Oreochromis niloticus: one gene and its partners. The protein of the gene in region 1 interacts with the protein of each later gene in a pairwise test. Links are inferred from orthologs where the notes say so. Each region holds a gene or a part of one and is shown on either strand. Other genes may lie near its edges.

Region 1 (7,571 bases):
TGTCATAATGATCTCATGCATTCATCCATCTGCATACAAGCTTTATTACCTGTGTTTAAGGTGCGCCTCCAGGTCACAGCGAGGCATGCTGAGGGAGCAGACAGGGGTCAAAGGGCAGGACACAGACAGCTTGTCCAGCAGCTTGTGCACCAGGATGCTGGACCTGCGACATGCCTGCAGCTGCAGCCGCGTCCTGTCCAGAGGGCAGAAGTCCCTCTCCTGGAGGAAGCTACGCAGGCAGCGGGCGCAGAAGGTGTGTCCGCATGGCGTATCGAGAGGCTGCACCAGCGGTTGCAGGCAGATGTGGCACACCAGATCGTCGTCCACTTCCAGACGGTAGTTGTAAAGGTGGTTTTCCCAGCTGCGGTGGATCTGGCCACACTCGGGACACAGAGCCTCCAGAGCTGGCTCCATGGACCCAGCCAGACCCACCTCGGAGCCCGGGCTGCCCATGTCTTCTCCTTCAACACAATTCAGCTTTGGCACGACTGAGTCCAGCTGGGATGCAGAGCGGTTGGGAAGGGGCGCACACACTCCTATCCCATAAGCTTCAGAGGCTGAACAGGTGGCGGAGAGGACAGATGCCCCCCAGTGGCTGATGGCACATCACCCTGTGGGTCAGAGGCCAAAACAAGAGAGTTAAACAGCTGTTTCAGAAAAAAACAAGACAACAAGTGTTGGGCATTTATTCATGTGGCAAATGCTTTGTGCACGTGTGCCCACGTGTTTGCATGAGACCGAGGGTGACACCGAGTGTGTGTGTGTGCCCATTTATGTCACAGCTGAGATTATGTATTGCTGCTTCTGTCCACTAATCTGGTAGTATAATCTCTCTTTTGCTCTCGCCTGCTCCAATCTTCCAATTCCACAAAGAGGGAATTATCTGGGATTGAGGCAGAGAGAGGGCACAGATCAGAGAAAGTGAGCTTGGGAAAGCAGCAGAAAAGGAAAGTGGTGCCGACAAGATATGGAAGGGAGCGTAGACAGGTGGAATAAGAAAAAGAAGAAGAGATCAATGGGATGTGAAAACAGGTACAAGGGAAGAATAAGAACATGAAATGGAAGAGAGGATGGAGGGAAGGAGGGGGAAGCCAAGGAAAACGCTTGATATTTTTGGTTCAGGCTGGGTACAGTAGATGAACTCAGTCTCCTCTACAACGGAAAGAGAACACGCCCAAAGCAAAGTCTTGAAATATAGCACTCCAGTGAGCAGAGCGTGTCCCCAGAGCTAATGCACCGCAGTGTGCGCTGATCATTTCCACAGCGTTTCACATCCAAAGCCCCTCAGACCCCCTCGGCCCTTCTATTAGCCCAGCCTCCGAGGGGCCAGATGCTATCAGCCGACAGCAGAGGGCGTGCCTCTACGCTCAGCGGGCCCAGCCAAGATACAGTGACTACCTGCCTCTGTTCCAGCGAGGGTCTGCTCCTGTCTCCATGACGACCTGGATCCCGTTCTGCTCAGTGGGGCTTGACATTCAGAGTGTAGCCAGAGAAGGATGCAGAGGAGCCACACAACAGATGCACTCCTCTCAGCAGGATGCTCTCCTCCTCCTCGGTACAGCCTGAAAGCTTGTCAGACAGCGCAGACGATGATGATGAGAGTCCCCTTGAGTCGTTTTTTTCTGCTTTTTTCATCTCGTCTGGGTCTTTTTTTTTTCCTTCCTTGTGACAACCTGTCCCTCCTGTCTCCTTGGCCACCCCACCGGTAGTTACTTATTTCAGCCTCCTTTAAGTACGTGCTCCTCCTGTCTGCGTGTGACTGGCTGCTTCTGTCTCTATCCCGCAGCTGGACATGAATTAATCATGAGGACACAAGGCTTCTCTGTTTCTATAACAAAGATGTGACATCACCACATCACACACACACACACAAACAAACACACGTACACACACACACTCGTAGACATGCGAGCGTAAGTCTACACAACCAAAAGCAAACACGCACATCAAGCACAAGAGCGTTTTTAGGTACCTGTGAATGGTCTTTATCAATAAGTAAAGTCTTCGTGTTTTCACTGTGACGGCACTTCAGAGCAGTGAAAAGCACTTAAATGTGTTTTAAACAGAGCTGTTGCAACAGATTCTTTTATACAAACAATATGAAGACTGGCAAATGCTTGTAGAATATCTCTTTTAATCCCACCACACAGTGTGTATGTACGTGTGTGTATGAGAGTCCAAGGCCAGGCTGTTATTGTCATTGCACTGCTTTCCATTTCAGTAAATAACACTCTTGTCTCTCTGCTTATTGTTCGAAATGACAATCTAATCTTACAGGACATGGCAGTCCAGTGTGCAGGAATTACATTTTCAAAGAAGATGAAATGATGTTTTAGGCCACAGATTTAAAATCTCAGGTCCTCTCGGCTTAGCCTACATTTTCATAAAACCCCATCTCTCTTATCTTAAAAAAAGGCTCTGGTAGCCACTTGCAGGAACAGGCCTGCTGCTGCTGCTGTTCTGCAAGGTCTGTTGCAATAGGCTGCCTTTTTTTCTTAAACCACCCCCCTCCACACCACCCAGACACACAAAGATAACAAAAAAAAAAAACAAAAAAAAAGACACTGATTTAATTTAAATTTACAATTATTTTTTTCTGGCATAGACCTGATCTACCTTGGGAGCGCTCCCACTGCAGTGTCATGATCAAATACGCAAGCCCGACAGTCTTGCATATACCAGAAATTCTTTTTAATCATTGCCCCCCATCTGTCTGACTCCATCCCACCCTCCCCACAAGCGGAAAAACCTGGGACCGATGAGGCGACAGCAGCATAGAAAGCAAAGCCAGCCACACACTGACACCGCTCGCGCGGGCAGATGTGATGTGACGTTACCTTTTCCGGCGGCTCCTCCGCGCCGTGCACTCCGGCCCCAAAAAGGGGGGTGATTATTAGCCGCGGGACCTCAATCACGCATCCACCGCAACGGACCGTTCCGCAAAACCCGCACGAAAACGCCCCCGTGCCTTTGGCAGCGCTGACCCCGCCCACTGCTGTCCGTCAAAACCGAGTGGGCGGGGCATACGGTTGTCAATCCAGAGGAGAGCTAGGGGGTGGCTTTAAGACCGCCTTTTCGTAAATAAATAATTAACAACCAAATAGACAAATAAATAAGTAAATAATATAATATAAAAATAAATAATAAAACAAAATGCGTTTAAATATATTTATGCATAAAAATTCTAATAAGTCAGCAAACACATCAAAATAAACAGATATATTTGTAACGCAGACAAACATAGGTAAATCGATACACGAATAAACACGTATAACTAAATAAATAAATATATAAACATACATACATACATACATACATACATACATACATGCAAAATACATAAGTAAATACATATACATAAATAAATAAATAAATAAATACAGGGAACAAACAAAAACGTAAATAAATAAATGCATACATACTGTAAGTTATTCTTTTTGAAGATTACTGGTTACATTGTAGGCTACTGTTATAAAGGTTTAAAGGGGGCGTGAGATTAAAACTTATTAACATGACTTAGTTTTATTTTAAATAATAAGTGAAACTTAATATTACAGCTTTCAGTTTTGGATAAATGCCGCTTTTAAAGATGAGAATGTCTCCCTTTCTCAACAAGTTTTGAGAGATGTTAATAGTTAATTAGCACAAAAACCTTTCCACTGACGTATAACATTCACCAAGCAGAGCAATAAAATAAACAAACCTCACCAGAATTTAGGTCGTTCTATGGTCAGAAATAATGACGACAAAACCACTGCCAACTTCTTAAGTTAAGCTAATATTTTTGATGAACACAGCAGCTTTATACCAGTTTACGGTAAAAATGGGGAATTAAAAACAACCACTGCGGCATCGCTTTCGTTTTACTAAACGGGTACATTTTGTTAACTGTGTGATAAACAGAGCCCAGACCTAAATATCAGGATTTCTTTTTTTTTATTATAACGTTTTAGTCGGTTACTGTCCACGAAAGTTATTTGGGAAATGGCAGAAAACAGAAAAGGGTGGACGGTGAAGTTAAAAATGATCTGGCATTATTCAGGGCAGCAAAAATCCTCGGGGTCCTCGGTCGGAGGACCTCGCGAGGAGGTAAACAAGCGATGTTGGGTTAATTAACGATCATCCATCGATTTTAGCGCAATTAAGCTTGCGTGTGATCGCGATGGCAGAAGATAATGAGCTGGAGAAGTATGTAGCTGTGTTAATATTTGTCCTCACTCGGTATTTGCGCACTGTTGAACGCAGGTTTCCTCTAAATCCGTAACAGCGCTCCGTCGGTAAAAAAGAGCCTCATTTATTGTGTTGTTAGACGAGCTTGTGATTGTATGGAAAGCCTGCCTTCGTGGTGGCACACACCATCAGCTGCCTGTCCTTTATAAAAGTAGATCAGCGGGTCTCCTCTGCTGGGATTGTGCCGATTCAGCAGCTCGGGTCAAACCAGGACACTGTTCCCCTTTTGCTCCTGATGATTCACTTTCTCTTCCGCATCACTCTGTTTTCTCTCACTTAATTAGATTATTCTCCCCTTGGCTCCCCCTTGAGGATTTGCGCCATCTTTGTCCTCGGCTTCTCCCCATTTCTCCTCCCCTGCATGTGAACAGTGTTTGACGTTTTTTCTCTTTATTTATCCATCTAGGCGTGCAGTGGAGGAGCTCCTCAGGGAGACTGACAGAGCCCGCGTGAGAGCAGAGACCATGGGCCCTGCAGGATGGTGAGCACCGTGTCTGATATGCCATCTGTCTGACTCTTACTTATCTGCTTTAGTAAGAAGGCTTGGTAGTTGAACCCCACATAATGTGTGCATTGCACTTGAACTAAATGAAAATGGCTGCAGTAGTGTGCGATACTGTAGATTTTTGGTATCGATCTGATACCAGGTACATAGACGGCCAATATTGCCGATACCGATAATTGTAAATTGTAAAAGAAAATTAATAAATCGTCATTCATTTGCAACAGATTTAATGAGCATTAAATCGCTGTCATTGTTACTTTTCACTATAATTAGTTAACACATAAAAACGCATCTTTTAGCTTTCTGTGAAAATGGCTTTTTTGGAGACTTGCAGTCTAAATGTGCAGCACGTTAGGTTAAATTCTCTAGCTTATAATGTGCTATAAGCTATAAATAAAATTGATGTGGAGGTTAACACAAAAAAAGATTCCTGTAATTTTTTCATAGTGCATACCTGAAGTATATTTTTCACTAAAAATGATTTAAAGCAATTCCTTGGGCTAGATACTGAACTTAGAGGATAGAAACAAAGTATCGTTCCTATTGCACTAGTATGGATCTGATACCAAAAGCAGTGTTGGTATCAATACTATTGATACTATATTTGGATTGATCAACCCACCTCAAATTTGAATCCAGTGTAGAACAGGGATAAGAGTGGTGACAAATAAAAATGACTGAAGGTCGAAGGTGCAGTACATGGTACAGTTAAGTAATTGGCATCCATAGCATGTAGGAAAATCCTAGGCAGGTCCTGCTAATTCAGATTATGATCTAAGTAATGGGATAATGGGGAAAAAGTATCTATGTGACAGTCACACAACTCCTGGTGTTTCAGCAGGAGCAGTGAGTAAAGTGAGAGCAGAATCATTCCATACTAAAACAACAAAATACACACACGCGCACACACACACACACACACACACACACACACACACACACACACACATATATATTTTTAGTGTGATTAATAAAGCCAAAATTTTACCTTCAGAATGACCATTTTCAATGTTGCAGTCCCTTGAAGAGGGCATGAGTGGGTCAGATTTTGGCACTTTTTAATTTGGCTTATTTCTTCTAGCATCTCAAACCCTCATAACTTCTTCTACAAAATATATCTACTTAAAATGAACCTTTAATTTCATTTATACTCCGCTAAAAAGTGCAACCATATGAACTTTACACGTGCTCAAAATGTCACATCCTAGAATAGAAGAGAATAGAATGCATGTATTTGTCTCTGTATAGGTGCACAATGAAATTTGGAGCATCTCCCTGAGCAGTGCATACAATTAAGATGCATCAAATACAAACTTATTTTAACTTGAAGTGAAAGTTAAAATAGACACAGATACCCATTACGCTGTCCTTAATGATCTTAGACAGGATGTTCATAGTAGAGGCAGTGTAATGTTTTTTTCTATAGCCCCTGAGCAAACTTTGAGCATCAGTATTATGGGCTAGATCCTAGCTTTAATAGCAAAACTGCACAAATTTAAAATCTATGAGAGCGAAAGTAGTATTAAATCATGACTGTGTTAAAAAATGATTTAGATTGCAAAGAAGAAGGTGACCCCAGTGTAAAAATGTAGGTAAATGATATATCTTGTTTTGACCTGCCTCCAATCTGACATGGTGACCCTTTAAAATTGACCCAAATGCTTTTTTTTTTTTTTTTTTTTTTCAGTGAATGACCAAAACTCCAATATATCCCATTTAAAACTTTACTTTAGATCCTGACACTTGCAGTGGGCGTTACATTGATTTGGTTGCTGCTTTTAACAAAGCTCCAATTTGTTTTTCACCTCCTAAGTTATGAGTATTAAAAAATGCTGGAGAAATACTGTAGACTATAAAAGAGTGTATTCAGAGGACATGTACCTCATTTTGTAAGAGGAAGCATGGATTCATTACATACAATAAAGTTATTGTACTAAAAAAAGAATATCTGATACTGATAGGAGGACAGATGGAAGGCACTGATTGATTTTTCATTGAATGTGTTTAGATTTACGGTCCCATGCTGCTCTGAGCGATTTAGATCAATGGGAAAGGCGTCAGTAAAACGGGGTTGGAAGCTGTGGTCGACTGCACACATTTGATAAAAGTGATGGTCGTGCATCAGTGCACCCAGTAAAAGTAAAGAGCAACTCCTTCTCAGATGAATGAGGATGTCAGTGCAGGATGTAATCAGACTGTCACCAAGAACCGCCCTACTGTAAAACAATTACAATAGAGCTGCACTGCATTCATCCCTCATTACAATGAGCAGTGCACATTTGAGAGCGAGTGGTCGTATTCTCGACTGGTGGATGAGCGCCTGTGTGGCAGAGAGCAGTCTCCTAGCATGGTTTGTCCCCTCATTGAAAGTCAATATGAAGATTTTAAACGATGGCCTTTCTCCTGTGCTGAAAAAGTTCTATCCCGATGGTAGTCGTCTCTTCCAGGAGTCATCCTCAGGGAACTAAGTGGTTTAAATATGAATGTAAATTTTACTTCATGGCTTTCACAGTCACTAGATCTTCTTACTAAAATGCTTTATGTTGGGGATTTATTTCCATTAATTTGCCTGTAGTTAAATGTTTGGTATTGTGTAACCAGCATGTGAGAAAATTAATTTCTTGTTAGCAAAAATACAGTTTTAAAAATGTTTGCTTTGTTATTGTCTTTTCTCTGCACTGAGTTCATGCTTTAAGGGCGTTAATAGGGTTCTCTAACTAATCTAGGGTAATATATAACCAGTTTGGTAATGTGTAAAAACACCATGATGTCCTGGAAAATGTTGGAATGTTTGATCTTGTATAAATGCATTGTGTAGTTATTCTTGCTACTTTTT
Region 2 (7,696 bases), on another chromosome or scaffold:
AATGAAATGGTTATATTTTGGTGTTGAGGTTTTTCATGGACTGAGTAGATAGCATGCATGTAACCTTGTTTATAACGGTAAGCTAACCTGTAAGGATGCGATCAATACATTGCACTACCAGCTCTGCATTCTCCATGCCGAAGCACATGGGAGGCTTAAACTTCAAGACATTCTCCCATGGGCCGTCAGTACTGACACATATTTGATCCTCCTCCTTCAGCCTGATTTAAAAGGACAAACTCCAATCACAGAACAGCACATTCTGAATGCACAGCCCTGGGTAGTATGCTGTTTAAAAAAAAATATGAAATGTAAAAACTTGTATGTTGCACTGCAGTCCCTCACCTCTTGACCACATGCGCTGCAGCTTCTGTGGCAGGAGTCTTCTTCTCTCTGTCAGTCACCAGCTCAATTCCCAAAAATAGTCCAACACCTCTACAGAAATAAAGACATGGCCTTTTATTGGAATTATGAAAGAGTTAGCATACTTGTCATATACATTTACGTTTTAAGTATTCAGGTACCAGGACAGCGATTTGCAGTCTGTGTGTGAAAATCCAACATTTTTGTCATTTATATGTTGCTTTTTATACTGTAAAAAGGGTAAACTACCAAATATATGTATAATAGGACAATTTTTATACATTTGAATAATTAGACATCTAAATTAAGTAAGCTTTAAACACCAGAGTTGCAAATAAAAGTGAGACGTCAACGAGGCACTGTAAACATGGACATGTCTGTAGGCAAGCTTTAATTAGTATAGGCACTGAACTTCATTATATGGCAGCTTAATTAGTGTTTTTTTAAGTGCTACGAACTGCAGAATACCGCTGATGTAGCATCCTTACCTGACATCTCCAATTATTTCATGTCGTGCTTTTAGTTTTGTGAGCAAATCTTTAAGGTGGGCTCCGACCCTCACAGCATTTCCTCTTAAGTCTTCCTCCACAATCACATCAAGGACTGCTAGGCCAATTGCACATGACACTGGAGTCCCGCCGAACTGCATGAAGTTGGAGAGTAAAATAAGTGATTTATCTTGAGAATATGCATAAAAGCATTATATTTAAAAGTAACACAGGAACTGTGAGTGAAATGTACGTTTTCAGTTTATCTTCAAAAAACTCTTATTTCTCTCTTAATGTCATTTTAATATTAATGGTTAAATGGCAAAATAGCTATTACGTATTATCAAATACCTGGTTGTGTCTAGAGATCGGGCAATAATTTATGCTACATTAAGGTTCCTGTATAGTCACCGTATTGAAGTACTCCACTCCGTTGGCTGTAAAAGCTCCAGCTATCTCTGCAGTGGTTGCTACGCATGCCAGGGGATGCCCATTGCCCATCGGTTTGCCCATGGTCACTATATCTGGGCAGAAATCGTCTCCCTGAAGCTGAAAAGCCCAGAAATGATGTCCCACACGCCCAAAACCTGTCTGCACTTCATCTGCCACAAACACGCCACCAGCTGAGCGCACATATCTGTGGAAAACATGAGGAGGAGGCACCACACTGTCATTGTTGTGCAACCAGCTGAGCAAAAACAACCAGATAACTGAAGAATTACTTACTCTGCAACTTTAGGAAAGTATTCTTGGGGTAAGATTATTTGTCCACCGACACTAGGCAGGGATTCAGCAAAGAAGGCTGAGATCTAAAGAAAAAAAAGATAATAAATATGTACTATAAATGTAATGTTCTTATTATTAGCACTGTTCTGAGTGTGTGTAGTAGAGATTTTATTGAGCCTGCATGGAACTGGGTTATAGTGTACCTTACGGCCTTTTTTGTGCACATCCTCTATAAGGTCTTTTACTGTGTCAGCATATGCTTGGCCTGGGTCGGGGTGATCTTCTCTGTATATACCTCTGTAGGTGTCTGGTAGAGGTGCCTGGGAGGATGAAAGAACATGTTCTTTGAGATAAGCAGGATTCCAGTGTTGGGTAGCAGTTTTTGTGATGATAGGTTTCTAAATTTACACACCACATGAACCCATTCTTTCTGTCCCGCCAGTTTCCGGAACTTGTAAGGGCTAATGTCGATGAGAGACATTAGATGCCCATGGTATGCGCTAGTGTAGAAGGAGAGCTCATTGTAACTGAAAAGCAAGTGTAATTGCAGGGTTCAGAGGGCTGCAGTGGAGCAAAAATACTTACTGGTCAAGAACTACGACATCTTCATGTTGGGTGTACTGACGTGCCAAGCGTAGGGCAAGATCGTTGGCCTCTGAACTATCAGGAAAAAATAGATGTAACTGTACTTTAGAGAATGTTTTCTTTAGGAGTATGAGCGTGTGCAACAGAATACTCACCCAGAGTTGACAAAGTAGAAGACACACAGTTTCTGGGGCAGGGTAGCAGCCAGGCGGTCAGCATACAGGACTATGTTGTCATGCAGGAATCTTGAATTTGTGTTCAGGACGTCCATTTGAGCCGCTGCCGCCTTTGTGATAGCGGGGTGACAATGACCCACTTTAGAAAACATACATACAACATGTCAGTAAGGGCGTCGAAACGTCCTGCCACTAGGTGGCAGAAGTGTATTGTACTGTATTTTTTAATTGGTTAGAAAAAGACTTGAGAGTGGATGATAATGGTTTTACCATGTTGGACGTTACTGATACAGTCCAAATAGCGTTTGCCATTTTCGTCAAATAAATACTGTCCTCGTGCTCTTACTATTTTCACTGGGTCTTCTGAATAAAACAGTCTACATGACTGGCTGTAATCAAAGAAATGAGTACGTGTCATTAGCACTATATGCACTATAAGCCTGTTAGCAAGCGCCAAGAAAACACCAAGTTTCATCTTACATACCCGATTAGCCTATTCCTCATTGCAAGAGTTTCTTCTTTCCGAAGTTTTTCTTGCGCCATGACCACTTAATCTCTCTCTATTTTAATTTCACGTATACCAAATACAGAAAATGTCATAAACTATGACGGCTATCGACTAGAAACTTGTGAAAAACAGAAAACGCTTTCGCTAACTGACCCAACACGCATGCGTCGGTGGCAGAGCTGAGTTCACTTCCCACTAAGTTCAAACACTTTGTAGTTTTAACTTTTCTTTTTCTCTGTCACAGATAAGGTAGGGTATCTACATTTAATAAATATCTTATTATTCGACCTATATTATAAAATACCTTTGCCTTTATTGTTAGTCAGGAAGATTTGCAATTACGCTCTCGTTTTATCCAGAACGGTGTCAGTGTGGGACGGTCAAAATGACAGAAGGTCGTAAAAATAATTGCAATGTGTTTTGCTGTTAGTTTAGTTTAATTTCGAAAAACAAAAGTAAACCTTATACATTTTTTGTGTGTCTAAACCTCATTTAAGTATCTTTTGAATCCATAGTTGTAAAAGCATGTGACAAAGACACCCTCTCAGTTGGTATCGTCCAAAAGCTATAAATACTCAGTTAATCTGCTCGCCACCCGGTGCACTAGCTGCGCAGCTTTGGTTGCTTAGGAACGGCCAAATGCAGGTAATACATCAAGACAGCTGTAGCATGCTAGCTCGCAACCAGGCTGCGTGACCAAGCTAACGCCACAACTGATTTAGGCATAGACTATTGGGTTAGCGTTAAATTTATGAACGCATATTTTAACACTGGCTTTAACAAAACGTAGCTATAACCGACTGGAATGACAAGCCTCTAACCGGTCGCAATCAGATCGATTGTAATAAACTGACGCTAGTAATTTTAGTGCATTTATCCTATGAGCTAGCTGACAACTTGGTGCTTCACTGGCTGCATCGTGTTCGTGAGCTAGCTTACCACATACCACCTTGCTCACCGGCTATAATCGGAATCCGATCGATCCTGTAAGTTTAGCATTATTTTAATGTGTTACATTGTAACGAACAACAGCTGGATTGCAGTTCATGAATTTTAGCTGATGGGCAGAAACGTGGTTTTTGAGTCGAGATAAGCTGCGCAACACTGTGTTAAACTCGCTTGTTTTGCATGTTTTTTGTATTTTTTAGTTTTGTTTTTTAGATACATTATCCTTAAGTCAAAGCTATTTTATCAAGGTGGCTGTGCTAGAGGTTTCTTGTCATTTTGACAACATCCTATAGTTTTTTTCTTATGCTGATCAAATGGATGTTTGCTAGTCACACTGAAAAGTGATGCTAAAGTTTTATACTAGTTACTTGACAGCTCTTGATTGTGTTCAGGACATGACAGTGGAAAAAGCTTGATCTTGTGCCCCTTAAATAGCATGTCTTGTGACATGTGGAACTAGGCTAGCAAATGCACTGTTTGCCACAAGGAGGAGGAAGGCCCTGGAGGCCACATCTTGACTCAACAGTGATTGAACGAAAGGCTCTTAAGTGAGCTGGAATATAAATGCCATCAAAGGGCCTCAAAGTTGCTAGATTAATATTTGGTTGTTTTTTTGTTTTGTTTTTTTAGGGGTTTTTTCACCCTACATGTGCTCTACACATTCTTTTAAACAGAAGTCCAAAGGCTAATGGGTCATGTTACATTTTAATGCAGCGGTCATTCTGTCTGTTACTTTCAATTTGAGATGTACAGCACTGAGTAATAGACTTCCTGGGATTCCATACATGGGTTACTGCAGGTTAATCTTCTCAGGTGTTTGTGCATTCAGTAACTAATGCATTTTAAAGTTTTTGATTACAAGTAGAGTAGTTCAGGACTGTGTATGTCTCAAGTCCTTGAGACCTGGTTACTATTCTTTTGTCCCCTTTACAAAGATACTATGGTATGCTTCCAGCCCCTGTCCCATTCATTTTTCACACACTTCCCCCTCCATCCTTTCCCTTTTAGCCTTTCCCTCCCCCTTCCATTCTTTACTACTCACAACTCTTGTCATTTAAGTTTATTGGACCCTACTGACTTGACTGTCTTTGTATTGCAGCAAAAGTTTTCACTTGAGTTGTACTCTGCATCTCCTTTGAAATAAAAATTTCTTTGGAGTCCCATTTGGAACGACAATATGAACTTAATTTGAAATGTGACGTGCTGCTTTGTTCAGGGTGACCTCATGTCCATGTGTGATTCTCGCCTTCATGAGCATAAACTCTGCTTCTGCATGAGTGAAAGAGCAGCATATAAATCCTACCTTGGTTCGCATAGTTCTGTGGTCAGTGTTTGGTGTGCAGCTTTTCTGTTCCTCTTGCTATGGGCTTTCCCAAACACTTATAGTTTATAATGGGAAGAAAACTCCCCATGAGAAAGTACCTTCTGTCCCAGTGTGATTTCTCTGCAGTTTGTCTAACCACTTATTTAATTTGTTTTCATCTATTCTCACCTGCCTCTCTAGGTTGCATAAAGATGATGGTGGCATAGTGAGGAAGCTGGTCAGTCTGGCTGGTTGAGGTGTAGAGGGGACGCCACAAACCACGCCAGAATTCTGACTAATGACACTTTCACTGCCCTCGGTAAATCTCCTCATCTCCATGTCTCTCCCTGGATCATAGCTACAAATATGGTGACTCTTATAACAGAGCAACTTCGTAAGCAGAGTTTAGAAGAACCCTATCACAAGGCCTTCTCATTCAGTGTGAATGTGGTGAGTTGGATGGTTTAGATGGAACAAAGTCTTGTCCTTCAAACTGATTTTGTTTCATTGACTTGGTTTTCCCACTTGTGGTTTTGAAAACAAGTCATTCTGTTTGTTACAGTCATTACCTACAGTGGGCTCCAGTCCCACTGTCTCGTGGAGTGCTCATAAAACGACACAAGGCAAGTTTAGTGAATTAAGAGCAACATTTGTGGCAAGTGCGGAAATTTGCCTCATGTTTATCTTTTTGGCATTTTCAGAGAGCTACACCTCAACTACACATCCATCATCTATTGCCAGTGTTCTGGATGACTCCTGTGGACTTGATTCACTATGGCCTACTTCTCACTCTGGAGAATCACTCCGGGGACCAGAACGTCCCTTCAAGGTTTTCCAAAGTTCACCTCCACCACCTCCAAAACGCCACTGCCGGTCCCTCTCTGTGCCAGAGGATCTATCTCAGTGCCGCACCACCTGGCATCCCAGCGCATCAAGGGTTTGGACCCCGGTGAAACGTAGCTGTCACAGTGGAGGAGCATCTAGTTCAGGCTCTGGAGCCAGCTCTTTGCCACTTTGTGGTCCTAGTTCCTCCTTCCCCTCTTCCTCCATACACTCATCTGCTAGTCCTACCTTCTTTAGCTTAGCGCTATCGTCTGACTCCCCGGTATCATGGGGTTTCCCATGGGACCCCTGCGATACACTGAAAGGAGCGTGTTCTGCTTCCTTTGCTACACCTTCTTCGTGCTCTTCTTCGCCGGCCCCGCTGACCTCACACTATGTGCTGCAGCGTCGCTTCTCCCTCTCCCCTGTACACATTCAGAAGTCCCCTATGGTGCCCTTGCCCCCCCAACCCTGTCCAAGTTCAGCTCTGAAATGTGGCCGTTCTGACTTGGAGCACCCAGCCCTGTCTCCATCTCCCACTTCAGCCTGCAGCACACCATCCTCATCTAGGCGTGACCTCCACCCTGCTTTGCCACGATGCCACTCGCAGCCCTGTGACATGCGCAAACCTCGCTTAAAGAGGCGCCATGACCCAGATGTTCTGCCCTACCCGAGGCCAGTCCTCGACTTCAGCAAGATGACACAGGTGAGCAAGGAATGTGGTCCATCAGTGTTACAGTAGCTCTGTGACCAAGGCTAATAGTATTGGTGAGCAATCAAGTTCACTACTTTCCTTAAATGTAGCCTTTTCTTTGAGACCTTATATGACCTTTTTTTTTTTTGCTTTTCTCTCATCACTTATGTTTTACCACTTTATCTTGTTCACTTATTATTTGATGCAAGGATGCAAGATATTTATTTTTTTTGCCTATAAAAATAGTGACATGATGACCACGATGCACATGGTTTTTCCTGCTCAGATTGGTAATCGTGAGAGCCCTGCATGTGGACCAGGTAGCGGTTTGGTTCCAGTGACCTCGCAGGTGGAACGACGTTCAGCTTTCTCTCCGGCAGAGTTCCTGGGACGAGCCAGCATCGGGCCGCTCAGTGAAAGCGAGGAAGAGGAAGACGAAAGGAGGCCTGCAGATGGAGGACAAAAGATTGTTTTTGAAAGAGACTGTACAGAATTGGATCTGAACCTTATAGAAGAAAACTGATCGCTCCTTGGTGCTCTCAGTGTGATAACTGCATTCATAACCATGTTAAGCACACCTGCAGGCTTTTTTTTTTTTTTTAATATAACATGCTCTTCTGGCAGTTGGTGGAAACCTGCTGCCCTCTCTATACAAATGTCTAGACTTTAAAAGTAAGATCCAATGACCCCATGTGGGAGGCTAATATCCAATGACATTGCTGCGATCATAACACTTGAGCTCGCTCACTATTCAAAATTGCACAAATTTTGTCAGTGCCGGCCTGTAGAAGCACTCCTTAAGGAAATGTGCATGAGCGAACAAGCAAGATTTAATGCGCACACATTTTTGACTAATATTTGATATTAAGACGAGTCTTAATTAGCAAAAGCCATTGGTTTGCATCTTGATAGCCTTACATATCCTTATCAAAGAACTTTATAGCCAGGGGTTGACAGAATGTTTCTATTATATGACACACACTAAATGCCAGTAACTGAATGAGACCGATTGTTGTTCAGTGCTGCTTCTGATACTCGAGCAGACTACTTTTGTATTCGGCTGACTGATTTAAATGAGAGCTG
Region 3 (7,690 bases), on another chromosome or scaffold:
GAGTGTGACATGTGCGAGTATTTATTAGCAGCGACCCACCTGACCTTACCTGCAATTTAAAATCTTTATCTCACTTCTTTTCACCCCCCCCCCCCAAAGTCTTGAGCAAACACCAGCCATCTGCTGATAACTCCTGCTAATCTACTGGAGGTCAGAGCGCAGGCAGCCAAGTGTCCTCCGTGCCCTTAGCCCCCCTGACTGTCCTTTCACTTTCCTCTTCAAAAGGTTGCCAAATATGGGCTACAGTGGAGTGGAATATGAAGGTGGAGGGAGAAGAGCCAGACAGAGAGGAAATGGGAGTGGGCACAGTTTAATCACCCAACAGCAGCAAATAAAGAAACCGTAGAATTGCCCTCTTTTTACATTGGATAGAGCAGGGTGAAGGGAGAAGGAAGAGAGAGTCGGAGCAGTAGGCGAACCAGGGAACAACAGGGACAGTTTAGCTTAATAAATAGTTCTAGTGGAATGCTGCAGTTCAAGTGCTTCCTTGATTCATATCCGTGGTATCAAACACTCATCACGTCGCCCAGGGTGAACATAACATCGACTCCATCACACTAGTGTTCAAAACAAGTTTTTGGGACTCGTTTCAAGGGCTGAAAATTCACTTTCCATTTATAACTTCACAGTCTGTGGGCAGGGGACTACCCATTCAGACATGCCTGGGATCGTTACTTGTTTTTTTAAACTAGTTTGGCAGAGAAGGGCACATGTTAAAACTACATGTCAACTCACTGTAGCAGCAGCTTTGCTTGCCATTGTCTAATGACCAATAAAGCACAGAAAGTGAACAACAGTTATCCAAAACTTCAGCTGCAACCGTGTTTCTAATTGACGGCATATTCTCGCAAGGGAAAGCACTCCTTACACAAGCTTTTCCCCCAAACTGCATCTGCAGAAAAAACAGAAAACGGGAGGGCTTTTGTTCACGCAAAAAACGGCCATGGACAATCGAAACAAAAAGATATTTAGAGTTGAATGGGAGCAGTGACGAGAGGTCCTGGCTGTCACACAGAGGGTCCCTGGGGGTAGGCTCAGAGCAGCACACAGCACCAGAGCTGCTGGATCATATTTCCTCCCTGGCGCTTCACCAGAATGACCTATAGTAACCCCGGAAGGGCTTGGGGAAGAGGTTACTATAGGGCATTTTCGCTTTGTTGGAAACAGTGATCAGATTATGCTCTGGGAACTCGCCAATGGTGGCTTTGTTTTGTTTCCCCAAACACGTGCGCCTCATTAAAGTCATGTACATGAAAAAAAAAATAAGATGTTATTTCTTTGACCCGTTTTAGAGGAGATGACGAACACATTTACACACTCAAAACAATAAGAGGAAGTAGTTCACAGTTATAGCTGTTCTAAGGCCTATGAGCAAATTTCCTTGCGCACGGTGTCTTTACAGCGTGCGAGCTTTCAAAGTACCTCGTCTGCTCCTGCAGAATCAGATGGGGCTCCACGAAGAACTTGACCCGCAGCCTGAGCCGACAGGGTGTCAAATTATCCATCTGCTGGCTGATGCGGTTCCTCAGATTCAGCCACAGGTTTTCTCCTTTGCTGCCTGTGAACTGCAGCCCAAAGTAGTCTACTTCGATTATGCCCAACTTTCTGCAAACCTGAAGAAAGACGAAACAAGCAGGGGGGGGGTGTCACAAAAAACACACACACGAAGTGAGACGTGAAGCTTTTCACCACAGGACAGCGACAGCTGGTGAAGAGCTCCTTTAAAGAGGCAATCAATAACTTTTCTTGTCATGTGGAAAGTGACGAGAACCAACTGAGTAAAGTCCCACTGGACTTTTTTTTTATTATTATTTTTACAAGGAAATTCACCAGTACTGCTGTTACTGCAGATACTCCGACACACAAACCCCCATCAATATTCTGAAGCTCACGAAGTGAACTTGGAGCCCCTCCCGGGGTACAGGGGCTCATCAAGCCCGCAATCCCACGCTCCTCCGGCGGCAGCAACCATGGGTTTATTACATAACTGCTGCTGAAAGTCTGCACAGGGAGCCAGGAGGCTGAGATAAAACTCGTTCTGTGCATATTAAATAGATTAACATCATAATGAGGAGGGGAAATGGCAATCAAAGGAAATAACAGTTACTACTGTGTCCATGTTGAGTTGGGGGTGGTGGTGGGTAGAGATGTGAAAAGCTAAGTTTCATCTTGAGAGGCGGCAGGATGACCTGGAGTAACCTGCACAAAGCCATCTGCCTCTGACTAAGCGAAGGAGCCTGAAGTGGCAGTCGGCAGCTTCCCAGCAACCTAACAAAACTTTTCTCTACGTGTTTCAGCCCCGTGGCTTTTTGACAGAAGTGACACTTTAGAGGGTTTGTATTATTTAAAAAAGAAAGAAAGAAAGAAAAGAAAAACACGAAAGAAGAAAAAGTTGACCTTTTTTCTGCACTTGGCGCTCAGAACATTGTTTCCTCAGTCCTTGTTTGCTACAAGCAACAAAGCAGGTGACAGTTTTGTTGTAGCTTAAAGCTGAAGCTCACTGAAGCTGTGGCGAATTAATTAATTAAAGAAATAAAAACAAATAAAATCTTCTAATCGTGCAGAAACTTGGCTCTTCGGTCTTATTCACCACATTTAGTCGACTCATAAATGAATGCGACACATTAGAGGTGAAGTTGACAGAAACATAAGAAAATATTTTTCTGACAACCCGAGCCGTGCTGCCTCACCGACGCACATACGGCGACGTGTTATTCTCACATGAAGACACAAAGAAGAATAAAACGTGCTGTCCGTCTTTACCTTGTTGAGGCAATCTTCACCGTTCGCCTTCGCATCAACTTCCACTTCCATCACCACCGAATCCGGACGAGTAACGTGGCAGAGCATTTTGGCTGTTTGTTTCTGGAAATCTTTGGTGTGCCACTCTTTAAAACAATCAACCAACTCTCGAGCCTTCGCTTAAAAAACAACAACCCCTCTACATCAAGCCGTCATCACTTTCTTAGCCCTTTCACTCCGTTTGGTGTTCGCGGCCACCAGCTGTAGGGTATATCAATGAAACGCCGCGCACAGCACCGCCTATTTGACACTCTGAGCCAATGAGAAGTGGCGTATCATCCGCACACCGCTCGGGCTCGAGCTCGCCTCCCGTGCCTTGAACTGCGAGGAGTCCACTGCGCCCTCACCTGGCTCGCCTGTTGCATGCACCTGAACTCACCTTGTCCTCGTGGCTGTGATGTTTCAGCGAGCTCGTGCGGATCTCCGGGTGAGTTTAATGGCTTGTGTACCGTCAACCCTTCGTTTCGTGTGAATAATGTATGTGGAAGCAGTCCAGAAATAACTCCCATAACTGGAGCGCATTCAGCTTCGCTGGTTTGCTGTTTTCCATCCAAAGCTTTTTGTGATTTTTTTTTAATATATATTAGCAACTTCAACTTTTCCATAACGCTGCTGCGTTTGAGTGTTGGAGAACGTGAAACTGTTTGATTATAGTGTGTCAAGGTGGGGGAAAGGTCAAGATAAAACGGCTAAGAGAGACTTAATAATTCAGCCTGCTCTACCTCATCATTTCTTCACATCTTGCTATTTCATGATATATTATTCAGCATCAGTGTGTAGTGATGCCAGATAAGACACTGCAGAAAGCTGCAGCCACACTTAAACTATGGAGGCATAGTATTCAGCCAAGCTCTGAGTTTGTCTGCCAGCGGACATTTTAGAGTAGATGCAGTGTGCCTCTCTATGTTTTTCTACTCCCTGGCCACTGCATTACTGCCTCGCTGAGTCCTAAAAACACTCACTTCATCATTCAGATATTGTATTAAAGCACTTACTTGGAAGGGATGTGAAAATAAGATTCAGCTTTACATACTGCACATTTAAAGATGTATAATGTGTTCCGTGGCCCTTTTATTTGGATCACTTTTTGAATGCCAAAAAGCACTGACACTTTTCTTCAAATGAAGTAATTTCCTGGCAGCCGTGTTTTTGTCTGTACTAGCTTCCGATTTATCACATTTAAATCTTACCTGAGGATCCAGGTTTCATTTATTTAAACCATGAAAATCCTTGCGACACGAGGAAAGTGATTTCACCCAAACTCGGGTTCCGGATAGATTTTGCCAATCTGGGTAGCACCATAAATTTTTATTCGCGCTCCAAAAACACAAACAGAGTAAACAGGTATGCGACAGTGGGAAGGAAAAACTCCCTTTTAACGAGGAGAAACCTCAGGCAGAGCCAGGCTCAGGGAATGGCAACCATCTGTTGCGACAGGGAGTGAGGAGAGGATGATGGGACAAAAGACACGCTGTGGAAGAGGGTCAGAGATTAATAGTAACTAATGATTAAATGCAGAGAGGTGTGTAAACACATAGAGAGTGAAAAGAGGTGAGTGAAGAAGAAACACTTAGTGCATCATGGGAAGACCCCTTCAGCCTAGACTTTACGCAGTAGAGAGGATTAATGGGTCACCTGATCCAGCCCTGACTATAAACTTTATCAAAAAATAAAGTTTTTTAACAGTTTAATCTTAAAAGTAGAGGGTGTGTTTCTTTCCCAAATCCAAACTGGGAGCTGGTTCCACAGAAGAGGGGCCTGAAAGCTGAAGGCTCTGGGTCCCATTCTACTTTTAAATACCCTAGGAAACACAAGTAATCCACAAGTCTGACAACAAAGTGCTCTGTTAGGATAGGTACTAAGAGGTCTTTAAGATATGACATGGCCTGATTATTCACGATTTTGGGAGAAAGATATTAAATTGAATTTTAAATTTAACAGGGATTTATCAGAAGAAGCCAATATGGAAGAAATATGTGCTCTTTTTCTAATCCCTGTCAGTACTCTAGCTGCAGGATTGTGGATCAACTGAAGTCTTTTCTGGGAGCTTTTAGAGCGATCCAATAATAATGAATCACAGTAGTCCAGACTAGAAATACTAGGTTTTTATTTTTGATCACATCAGATAAAATCAGTATGAGAAATGTTATTATTCTCATTTCAGGCATTATCAATTTCTCTTCCCTTCAACGACACATCGCTGCCTATATTCAAACGTCGACTCAACAGATTTTATCTGATGTAACATGTATGTGTGTCTTTCTGTGTGTGAGAATGTCAGCCAGCTTGGAGTAGGCAATGTCCTTTTGCCCCGAGGTGATGCAAGAAAGTGTGCAGTGAATGAGCAGAGAGACGTGACGTCTGAGCAGCCACCCGGACCATAAATGGAAAAGCAAGCATATAGCCAGTGACCTACCATTCGCTGTTAGTCTGGGACTCACTGAGCAGACTGCCAAACACATACTCTACTACTGCTACAACACACAGAGCTCCAGCAGAAGCACAGCTGCTGTTGCTGTTATTGGTTTACGCTTTCAAAAATTCTCTCTTTGTCCTACAGCACCCCAAAATAAAGTAAACACATGCACACAAACACAATTAGACGAATGAACCAATATTTATGGCAAACGCAAAAACATCTGGAGCAACTCAGTGATTTTATTCATTCTTTTATTTTTCACTTTAAGTATTTTATGCTTTATTTACCCAATTAGTTAATGTATATTTTGGTAGCCTGTGACAAAAATAGACAAACTATTTTCGACGCATGTCATCGCAACTGTAGCACAAAGAATAAAGCATAGAAAGGAAAATCATTATCACGACTACCATGTTGCACATCTAGGTCAATTTCAAGGGTAGGGCATCTATTTTTTTTTTTCCTTCCACCATCTGCGCTCTTGCACAAACACAGACCATTTGTAGACTCCTGGTTCGAGGCTAGGTATGACATCATGCAATGTGACATCACTTCCCTTTGAGGCAAGTCACATCTCACTCGACTGAAGCATGCATGCAGGGGATTTGTGCAAGAGTGTGTGTATGTGTGCATGTGGGCACATGACATCACAACGTCATCACTGCCCAGCTCCACTGGCATAGCTGTGCCTGTTGAAGCAGATATTATGTCAGAATGTGCCATGCTAGCAGAGCTGCTGCGGCTGCTGTTGTTGTTGTGATAGCTGTTACTACTTCGCTTCTTTTTCTGTCAATCTGTCGCTGTTAAGCCAAAGGAAGAGTAGTACTGGGCAGCTGGAGGAGAGGAATTGTTTACCAAAGTATGAGGAGAGGCCAGAGGGCGATCAGCTCCTCTGAGTCTGAAGAGAATCATCGGCCATGGTCGAAAGACTCAAAGGATCGGTCGTCACCGTGTGGACGCTCGTCAGAGGGAGATTCATCGTCGGAGTCTGATGTGGAGGCAGAAAGAGCAATGAAGAGGAGCCAGAGGTTCAGCAGTTCTTTCAGCTTTGGGGAGGATCAGGAGGTAGCGTCAAAAAATGAAGGTGAAGAAGAGGAACAGTCACCAAAGAACTCGAACAGAGTTTCCGTCAGAGAGGTGGTGGAGTCGGATTCTGAAGGAGAACATGCAGAAATGGAGGAAAGAAACAGTTTTTGTGACACAGATCAGCCAAGGTCAGGTTTATTCAGGCCTCAAGAATTATGGCTGGCGGTGACAAAATGTCTCTCCCTCCGGTGGCCTCCTTGTCTGTCCATCAGCAGACAAAGTAATAAGAAATTAGCCTACCAAGTGGATCTTGACCAATTGGAGGACACACAGTCATCTCTCACCTCAGAATCAACCAATGAGAGTTCTTCTAGTACATCTGCCTCAGATGGCAGAGATGTGTCTTTGGTGAAGCAAAAGGAAGACGATGTCAGAAGCAGAGGGGTTAAAGGTGGCCCTCCCACTCGTCGAGGGGTGTCTCGGTCCTCTCCCAGATTACCAAGAAACAGACAAGCTGCAGACTCTGTGCTGGCTTCGATGATGTTGGAGAAAGAAATGTTCCTGAGGATTGAGCTTGTTGATTCAGGAGAAGAGAGGGATGATTTACGCTACCGGGCAGAATGGAAGTTGTCAGAGAGAACTAAGGAACTGGCAGAGGGAGTGTGGCTCTCTCGAAGCCTAACAGCTAATAGACTGACCTCTTAAATTAGAGGTTTGGTTGTCTTTGATGTGGTGGACTTCATACCATGCACCATGTAGGTTAATTATATTCAAATCTTAGTTAGTGTGACTGCTGATTAGAAATGGCCCAGATTTCAGTGAATAATCAGTGAGATTGTTTTTGCATGAAGACTGTGTAAACCGCCGCCTGCTGATATAAACTGTGCTGATTCAAATGCAGTCACTGTGGCTAACTAATTAGAAATGCTATTTTCAGAAACGCAGCGCTGCACAGTTAGTGTCAGTGTTTATTTTTTGCCTTTCTGGGTGTCTGAGAAAATATTATACACATGGCTGGTTCCATGCATGGGAGGAAAGGGAGATTTAATCCAATATATCATGTGTTTATGAATAAAAGCCTTTTTTTGCAACCTGGAGTTTGTTTTTATGAGTAGTGAGAAAACAGTAAAACCACAGACTGTCATACCATGCTTAAATTTGAAAATAAATACATAAAATAAATGAAAAGTTTAGATTCAAAAAGTGAAATTATTGTGTAAAACTACTACAATGTGAACCCAAAAGCAATTTTAATGGACACTCTGTGCCTGTAGGTTATAGTAATCCCACTTAGATTTGTTGTGATTTGTACTGTATTGTACTACCATTTACAAACATCACATTAGGGAGGAATACTGGGTGAATCCAAGCAAGGAGTCAAACATATCATTTTGTGTCCACTCACTGGCCTCTTTATTAGATGCTCTTTGCTAGTGCTGGGTT
Region 4 (6,969 bases), on another chromosome or scaffold:
GGCTTCTGAGGATGCTGGAGTGACAGAATATCAGAACGTCAAAAATACACAATCAGCCTTATTTTAAAAGAGGTTAAGTTATGAGTCAGTACCCGATGTGACCAAACTGGGCTGCAGCGTGAATGGCAAACTGGGGCCAATCGTGGCTGCAGACCATGTTAGGGTCAGCCCCGTGGTCCAACAGGAAGTCCACGCAGGCCTGGTGTCCCTCCTGAGAGGCGATGAACAGAGGTGTACTCAGATCAACTGCCTGCGTGTTCACGTTGGCACCTGAAGTGAAAGCAGGTTAAAAAATTAACTGTGTAATCTATTTTACTTAATTACTTCCTAAAGAAGAGGCCAAGAGGACTTGGAGCATGAGATCCTTTAACAAGGAGGGAAAAAAATGTACAGCTACCATTAAAAGTAAATCCTATTTACCGGCGTTAACGAGTATTTCCAGGCACCCCCTCTGTCCGTACTGTGCAGCCACAAATAACGGGGAAATCCTGTAATCATCTACTGCCTCCAGGTTGCATTTGTTAACAAGAATGCGCACGATCTCAGTGTGGCCCTTTGGGAGAAACATGATCTTAAATACAATCAGCAAACACACAAGGACCCCACAGCTAACGCTGGCAGCAGAGAGCAGGAACGTTTAAGCCCTACATTCTTCACAGTGAGCATCACATGAAATCGCTGCATCCCTGCATTCTGCTGAAATTTTATGTTCCAGTTTGCGCCTTTTCTGCAGGTGTTTAAAGGTAAAAAATGTGTTTATTAATAACTGAAATGTAATAAAAAGGTTAATACATCCACAAAGTCTCTCTCTCTCTGTGCCTTGCAGCCAGTCAGAAAACATAAGGGAAATAAGGGAAAATCCCCAACAGATGTGACCATGCTTTCCTGACCGAAACCAAAAAGTCATGATCTACTGTTAAATGAAAAATGTTTGTTTAAGAACGTGAGTGCTAATGCTAATGCCTACCTTATATGCAGCTTGGTGCAGGCAGGTCCAGCTGGACTCTGTGTGTATTCTGTTGACCTCAGCACCTTTGCTTACCAGCAGTTCTACAACATCTGTGTGCCCGTGGCTAACAGCTGGAAGCAAATTTTGGGACACTCATTTGGTTAGAGGAGCTTAAAGGGTTAGACAAGCAAAAACAGAAAAAAATTAAACATCAGTGAAGCGCAGTTGTAATACCTTCATAAAGAGGACAGGACAAGTCGTTAGTGAGCTGGTTGATATCAGCGTGTGCTTTGAGGAGCAGTCGGACCACTGACAGGTGTCCACGCTGCGCTGCCAGGTAACAGGCAGACTCCCCCTCATGCGTCAGATGGTTCACATAAACACGACTACAGCTGGAGGACCTTGCTGCACACAGGGGAAACCAAAGAGGAAGAACAAAATGCAAATGAGAGAAACCCACATTTAACTTTAAAACAGCTGCTGAAGTGACTGATTTATCCATTAATCATTCACATCCATCTGGAGTCTAGCAGAGAAGTAGAAGGAGTAGAAATACCCTCAGAGGTGGGAAGTAATGAAGTACAGATACTGTGCTTCTGTACTTTACTTTACTTTGAATTTTACCCTCTTCATTTTAACCAAACATCTCTACTTCTTACATTTTCTAACCAGGCTGATTTTTGTTAGGTTTACCATATGTGAGCTACTATTTCCTGTCTTTGGGTACTTTCCAGACATCGAACTAATCAGACCCCAAGCAGAAGGAACAATATCCATCACCGGGGCTCGCACATGAAGAGATCAAAGAGTAAAAAAAAATACAGTTTGCATCATTTATTTATTCAGTATACTCTGGGTTTTAATCAGGCTTAAATCAGGTTTGGGGAACTCCAGGCCTCGAGGGCCGGTGTCATGCAGGTTTTAGATATCACGTTGGATCAACACACCTGAATCACATGATTTGTTCATTACCAGGCCTCTGGAGAACTTCATGACATGTCGAGGAGGTCATTTAGCTATTTAAATCAGCTGTGTTGGATCAAGGACACATCTAAAACCTGCAGGACACCGGCCCTCGAGGCCTGGAGTTCCTCACTCCTGGCTTAAATGATATGGAATGCTATTTTTTTGGTGCAGATGCCCATAAGCTGCGGCTTGTGCTACAGAAGAGGAGGAGAGACTAACATTTTCTAATGGGCATTTTAAATGCAGTGTTTCTAAGAAATATCATCAAAGCCACCAACTGATTCATACACTGGATTCCACCTTTGCACTAGCTTTATGCTGTCAATGGGAAGGACATGTAATGGAAAATATTAGGATTCTGCTCTTTTCAGTGTCAAGCTGACCTGGCTCAATGAAAGGCTCCACAGTATCAGATTCTGCCTGTCAATACAAGTACAAGTACATCTTTTTCACAAAGAAGCATCCATGTAAATCAATAAAACGATAGCTCATGTAACATCAGCTCATATCCTGCTGGATAAATCCATAAAGAGGAGCAGGACAGGCTGGCTGATGACAGGCTGTGCACAAAATCTGTAAAATCCCACTTTAACCTTTCACTATAGTCATCTTACTGTTTGGGTTTCACGACAAAGTCACACATCTAAAGTGCAGTCAGCAGCAAAGAGCTTTTTAAATTCCCTTTCTTTTTTTGTTCAGCATATCAGGAGTTCAAGCTGAGTTAATTTATTAGAATTTGAATTTAAGTTGAAATAAAGTTTGTATAAATAATATTTTATTATAATATTAATATGGAAGGTGGAAGTTTGAGCACAAATCAGAGTGTGTACTTTTGTGTACTTTTTCACCTTTACTTGAGTAAAGAAGTACTTGTGTAACGTACTTGAGCAGTCACAAACTGTCGTCCACCTGAAATACCACATCGAGCAACAATGTGAAAGCACTTTGCTTTTCAAAACTTTGCCAGTTGTTGTTAAATGTTTGTTGAACTAAACATGCTGCTGTCTTAAAAATGCAAAATGAGCATGTATTTATGAAAAAGCAATAAAGAATCTCACTTTTCACTTTCTATCAAGTGAAAGCTGCCTTTACTGCTGTAATGGGCCCAGACCTATTGTGTTAATGTATGAGAACATCAGGAACATCAGGAGTGGCAGAAAAGTATGTGAGGCTGGTGCAAGACATGTTAGAGGACAGTGAGACAGTGGTAGAGGAGGGTAGGAGTGACAGATGGGTTGAAGGTGAGGGTGGGATAAGATCCGGGATTGGCTCTGAGCCCCTTCTTGTTTGGAGTGATGGGAACTGTTGGACACTAGGGTCTCTTCTAACTTTGCATCCAACGTTAGACAGGTAAGGCTGAGACCTTTCGGATATGTGCAGAGGAGGGACAGTGGCCAAAGGATGCCGAAGATGGAGGTGCCAGGCAGGAAGAAAAGAGGAAGACCTCAGAGGAGGTTCATGTGAAGGAGGACAAGAAGAGGGTTGGTGTGACAGAGGAGGATGCTGGGATAGGGTGAGACGAAGGAAGGCAGATGATCCGCCTGTGGAGAAGTAGTACTGGATATCTGTGCAGCAGCCTCTCTTACCTCTGACAGCTGACAGGATTTCCTGGACGCACGCTTTGCTGCCAGCTGCCGCCGCCTCGTGCAGGGGGGTCCAGCCTCGGTTGTCCCGACAGTCCACACTGCAGCCTCTCTGAATTAGCGTCCTCAGCCGCCTCCTGCACCCTGAGCGAGCAGCAGTGGCCACACTGGACACCGTGTCTCGGTAGCACTCAGTGAAGTCCATGCCCAGGTTCACAGAAACATTCGTTATTTTAACTTCAATAAGGATTAACAGTCAAAACACAACCTCAGAGTTACTCCGGATGATTTTACACGACCCGACGTACACATTTCAGTTGGATCCGGAAAAGTTTTTAATTAAAATAAAGAAATAAAGGTGTCTTTATTTACCAAATAGACATTAGGAACTGAACAACGGCATTCCGAGCGTCGCCTGTTGATGACGTCACACCACAACAACCCTACGATCCAGCGTCGCGTGTCAGCTGTAGCTTCAGCTAATCGTTTAGTCGTTAATTGTTGCTGAAATTTGCAGATTTTCAGGCATGTTTGGAGAAACGTGAAGAAGAAGAGACTGGAAGCTTCTTCTCAGCGGGTTCAGGAGGCGCTCTGAAGGTAAATGCGCTTTATTTCCCATCACAGCGAGACATTAACAGAGTTAATGCAGCTGTAGCAAAGAATCGGATGTGACCGTCAACATACAGCCGATAAGTACTGTGTGTACTCCTGACCTACACGTCATTCAGAGTAACATTTGTGCCTGTAATTTAAAACAAACTGTCAGAAATCAAACATATCACATATTCATCATTTAAATCTGAAATCTGGCCCTCCTGACTAACTGTGGACCAGGGAGACCAGCGGTCCCGCCTTATGTGGGACTGCACAGCATTTTTATTACTTAAAGTAGAAAGAGTTGTTAAAGCTAGTCTAGGTTAAGCAGAGACGTGATGATCGGTGAGCAGCAGTATGTTTTCATGCTGAGACAGAACTCTACAGATGTGATGTTTGAGAGTGCTGATGGAGAAATATAGAGAAGGTCATAAGGAGCTTCACTCTGTATTTATGGATCAGAGAAAGCAGAAAATAGTGTGTCAAGAGAGGAACTTTGGCACTCTGCCAGAGAACAGGGGTGAGGTGTGCTGTAAGAGAGACGGGTGGGCTGAAGGTGAGGGTGGGATTACACCAGTGATCTGCTCTGAGCTCCTTTGCAGTGGTGATGGACAGGCTGACAGATGAGGTCAGGCAGTAGTGTCCGTCGATTATGATGTTTGCAGACGACACTGTGATCCACAGTTAGACGAGGGAGCTGGAAGAAGCGAGAAAGAATACATGCGTGAATGAGAGGGAGACAGGTGGAAGAGGCTGAGTGAGTGGATGAGTTTAAACACCTAGGGTCAACCATACAAGCAACGGACAGTGCACAAGAAGAAGATGGAGACAAAAAGACAACACGAGCAAAACATGTTAAGATTTTCACTGGAAGTGACAAAGATGGACAAGATTGGAAATGAGTACATCAGAGGGAAGCTCAGGCTGAGTGGTTTGGAGACAGAGAGAGTGAAGCTGGGATGGTTTGGATGTGTGCAGAGGAAGGATAGTGGATATATTGGAGCTGCAGCTCCAGTATATCCACTATCTCATTACCTTTGGACTATCGTAATTCCATCTCCCGTCTCCAGTTCGTTCATAATTCAGCTCCCAATGACATAAGCACATGACTCTTATTGTTTCTGTCTTACAGTGGCTTTAATCAGTCTTTAATCTTGTCTTGTATCTGTAACCTGTTCTCTTCATTGTTTCCAATTTTGTTTCCTAGCTCGTTGGCTCAAAGGTTACAGCAAGCCGCAGCATTATGGTGGACATCTCTGTGAAAAGTGAAGCTGCTTGGGTCTGTCACTCTCAGGGGCGTCACCTGGCTGACGTCGTTCTTCCTGTTCACATCAATAACACGGCCAAAGAAGAAGATGAAGTCAGTGAGTTGGACAGAGAAGAAACTCACTGGTAAGAGACTTTTAGCTGATATTAAGAAGCAGTTAGTGCTATAATTAATAGGCAGTTGCAATTAATCTTTGTCTATTCGCACAGAAGGCAAAGATGAGAAGTGGATTTTCCTTTTATTTATGTGAATGGTACATTTCCCACTTATCTGCCACACACAGTGGTGATCCAGTGCTGCTAGAGCAGATGGAGGAAGGGTCTCCTTGTGTCCTGAAGTTCCACTGCAACCCCAGCTTACCTGCCACCATCAGCCGCCTGCTCGTTATAAGTGAGGCTCGAACCATGGAGGTGTACAGCCAGACTGGAGAGTACTGTGGGACTGTACGGGGATCGAAGGACAACAGCATCCAGCTAGACAGGTACACAGGCTGCACAGGTCAGAAGAGCCAATGAACAAAGGTCTTCGGTCTTCTGATAAAGAAGCTGCTGATTGTCTGATGTTAAGAAGTGATGCTTCTTCTTTTGTTTGTGGATCACAGCGCTGACAGAGGGCCTTTCTATAAGAAGCAGCTGATCATTGAGGAGCCATCCTCTGCCTGTGAAGTGAAGGTAAAACAGAACATTTTAATTTATGCTGTTTATTACGCAGTCGTGGTTGTATGAGAGTCTAACGAGCTGCTTCTCTCTCCCAGTTACTCTCCCTGGCAGGTAGGAGCAGTGTTATGGTGGCTAAAGTCATCGTGAGTCTTCAGCTGCTGCAGTCCTGCCCAGCCCCAAACCCGGGCATAGACATGCAGCGAGTGCAGTGTCTGATGGAGGAGATGGGAACAAGCCTGTCGCCAGGAGCTCAGAATCTCATGGAAATGGTGCAGTTCCAGCAGAAGGTAAATTAGCTCAGAGATGCTCTCTCTGACATTTAAAATGTGGGCGTTTCCTGCTGACCAGTAATATTTCTGATAAAGTGCAGAGGAGAGTATGTCTTATGGATTTGAGTTTCTGTGTACCTCGTCAGGCCTCTGTCTAAGATGTTATTGTTACTGGAACTGGAACGGCTTCTCTGAGTGTCCAAAGCATAAGAACTAACCGGACATAAAGAATGAAACAGCAAGCTGGACTGAAGCATGTGTTGGTGTTTGTCTCTCCAGAATCAGACCGGCTCTCTGGCTGGTTTCCTGCCTCTCCTGATGGGCAGTGGAGCTTTCTCTGGTTTGGGGAGAGAAGTCAGCATGTGTCCAGGAGCTGGCAATATTCTGCCTCGACCTGCAGAATTTAAGGTACACGACCCATTTGTGCTGTTCTTTGTTCTTAGATTAGACCATTAAAAAACTCGGCCCACACCAGTTTGGTGGAGAAGAAAGGAGTGAAGTGATTTTGTGAGTGTGAACAGAGCCTGAAGCAGAAAGCCTGGATTAACTAAGAAAGTTCAGAAAAACTAAACTGGCTGGAGTCTGAGGTTTGGTCTGGAGTGTCTGCCAGAACTTTAATCCATTAATGCTCCCTGTTTGATGAACTCAAAGGAAGACCTTGGACCACTTCATTGATTGTGAT

What was found.
Region 2: the proteins of lnx2a (region 1) and phykpl interact in binary tests that used the Homo sapiens proteins (3 or more experiments, as listed by UniProt). The link is inferred for Oreochromis niloticus from reciprocal best matches to the Homo sapiens genes LNX2 and PHYKPL.
Region 3: the proteins of lnx2a (region 1) and mylipa interact in binary tests that used the Homo sapiens proteins (3 or more experiments, as listed by UniProt). The link is inferred for Oreochromis niloticus from reciprocal best matches to the Homo sapiens genes LNX2 and MYLIP.
Region 4: the proteins of lnx2a (region 1) and lg8h10orf88 interact in binary tests that used the Homo sapiens proteins (3 or more experiments, as listed by UniProt). The link is inferred for Oreochromis niloticus from reciprocal best matches to the Homo sapiens genes LNX2 and C10orf88.

Annotation. Positions count from the first base shown.
Region 1 is NC_031974.2:18,923,269-18,930,839, forward strand, and holds the start of lnx2a (ligand of Numb protein X 2a), read right to left. Parts: upstream 3,012-7,571; 5' UTR 2,838-3,011; intron 1,787-2,837; 5' UTR 1,399-1,786; intron 612-1,398; 5' UTR 454-611; coding exon 50-453; intron 1-49.
Region 2 is NC_031966.2:26,039,979-26,047,674, forward strand, and holds the start of phykpl (5-phosphohydroxy-L-lysine phospho-lyase), read right to left. Parts: upstream 3,013-7,696; 5' UTR 2,882-3,012; coding exon 2,823-2,881; intron 2,728-2,822; coding exon 2,609-2,727; intron 2,478-2,608; coding exon 2,318-2,477; intron 2,238-2,317; coding exon 2,163-2,237; intron 2,078-2,162; coding exon 1,990-2,077; intron 1,898-1,989; coding exon 1,781-1,897; intron 1,661-1,780; coding exon 1,578-1,660; intron 1,489-1,577; coding exon 1,263-1,488; intron 1,007-1,262; coding exon 852-1,006; intron 436-851; coding exon 346-435; intron 222-345; coding exon 88-221; intron 1-87. Other genes in the region: protein FAM53C, read left to right, coding at 5,464-5,547, 5,642-5,720, 5,799-6,625, 6,900-7,136.
Region 3 is NC_031985.2:20,357,495-20,365,184, reverse strand, and holds the start of mylipa (E3 ubiquitin-protein ligase MYLIP-A), read right to left. Parts: upstream 3,004-7,690; 5' UTR 2,851-3,003; coding exon 2,764-2,850; intron 1,614-2,763; coding exon 1,423-1,613; intron 1-1,422. Other genes in the region: dtnbp1b (dystrobrevin binding protein 1b), read left to right, coding at 3,166-3,229, 6,030-6,952. UniProt on the Homo sapiens protein: E3 ubiquitin-protein ligase that mediates ubiquitination and subsequent proteasomal degradation of myosin regulatory light chain (MRLC), LDLR, VLDLR and LRP8. Activity depends on E2 enzymes of the UBE2D family.
Region 4 is NC_031973.2:113,517-120,485, forward strand, and holds the start of lg8h10orf88 (ATPase PAAT), read left to right. Parts: upstream 1-3,955; 5' UTR 3,956-4,095; intron 4,096-5,299; 5' UTR 5,300-5,335; coding exon 5,336-5,484; intron 5,485-5,642; coding exon 5,643-5,840; intron 5,841-5,960; coding exon 5,961-6,030; intron 6,031-6,113; coding exon 6,114-6,305; intron 6,306-6,566; coding exon 6,567-6,695; intron 6,696-6,969. Other genes in the region: asb3 (ankyrin repeat and SOCS box protein 3), read right to left, coding at 1-14, 93-270, 421-553, 968-1,080, 1,184-1,354, 3,502-3,703. UniProt on the Homo sapiens protein: ATPase that regulates mitochondrial ABC transporters ABCB7, ABCB8/MITOSUR and ABCB10. Regulates mitochondrial ferric concentration and heme biosynthesis and plays a role in the maintenance of mitochondrial homeostasis and cell survival.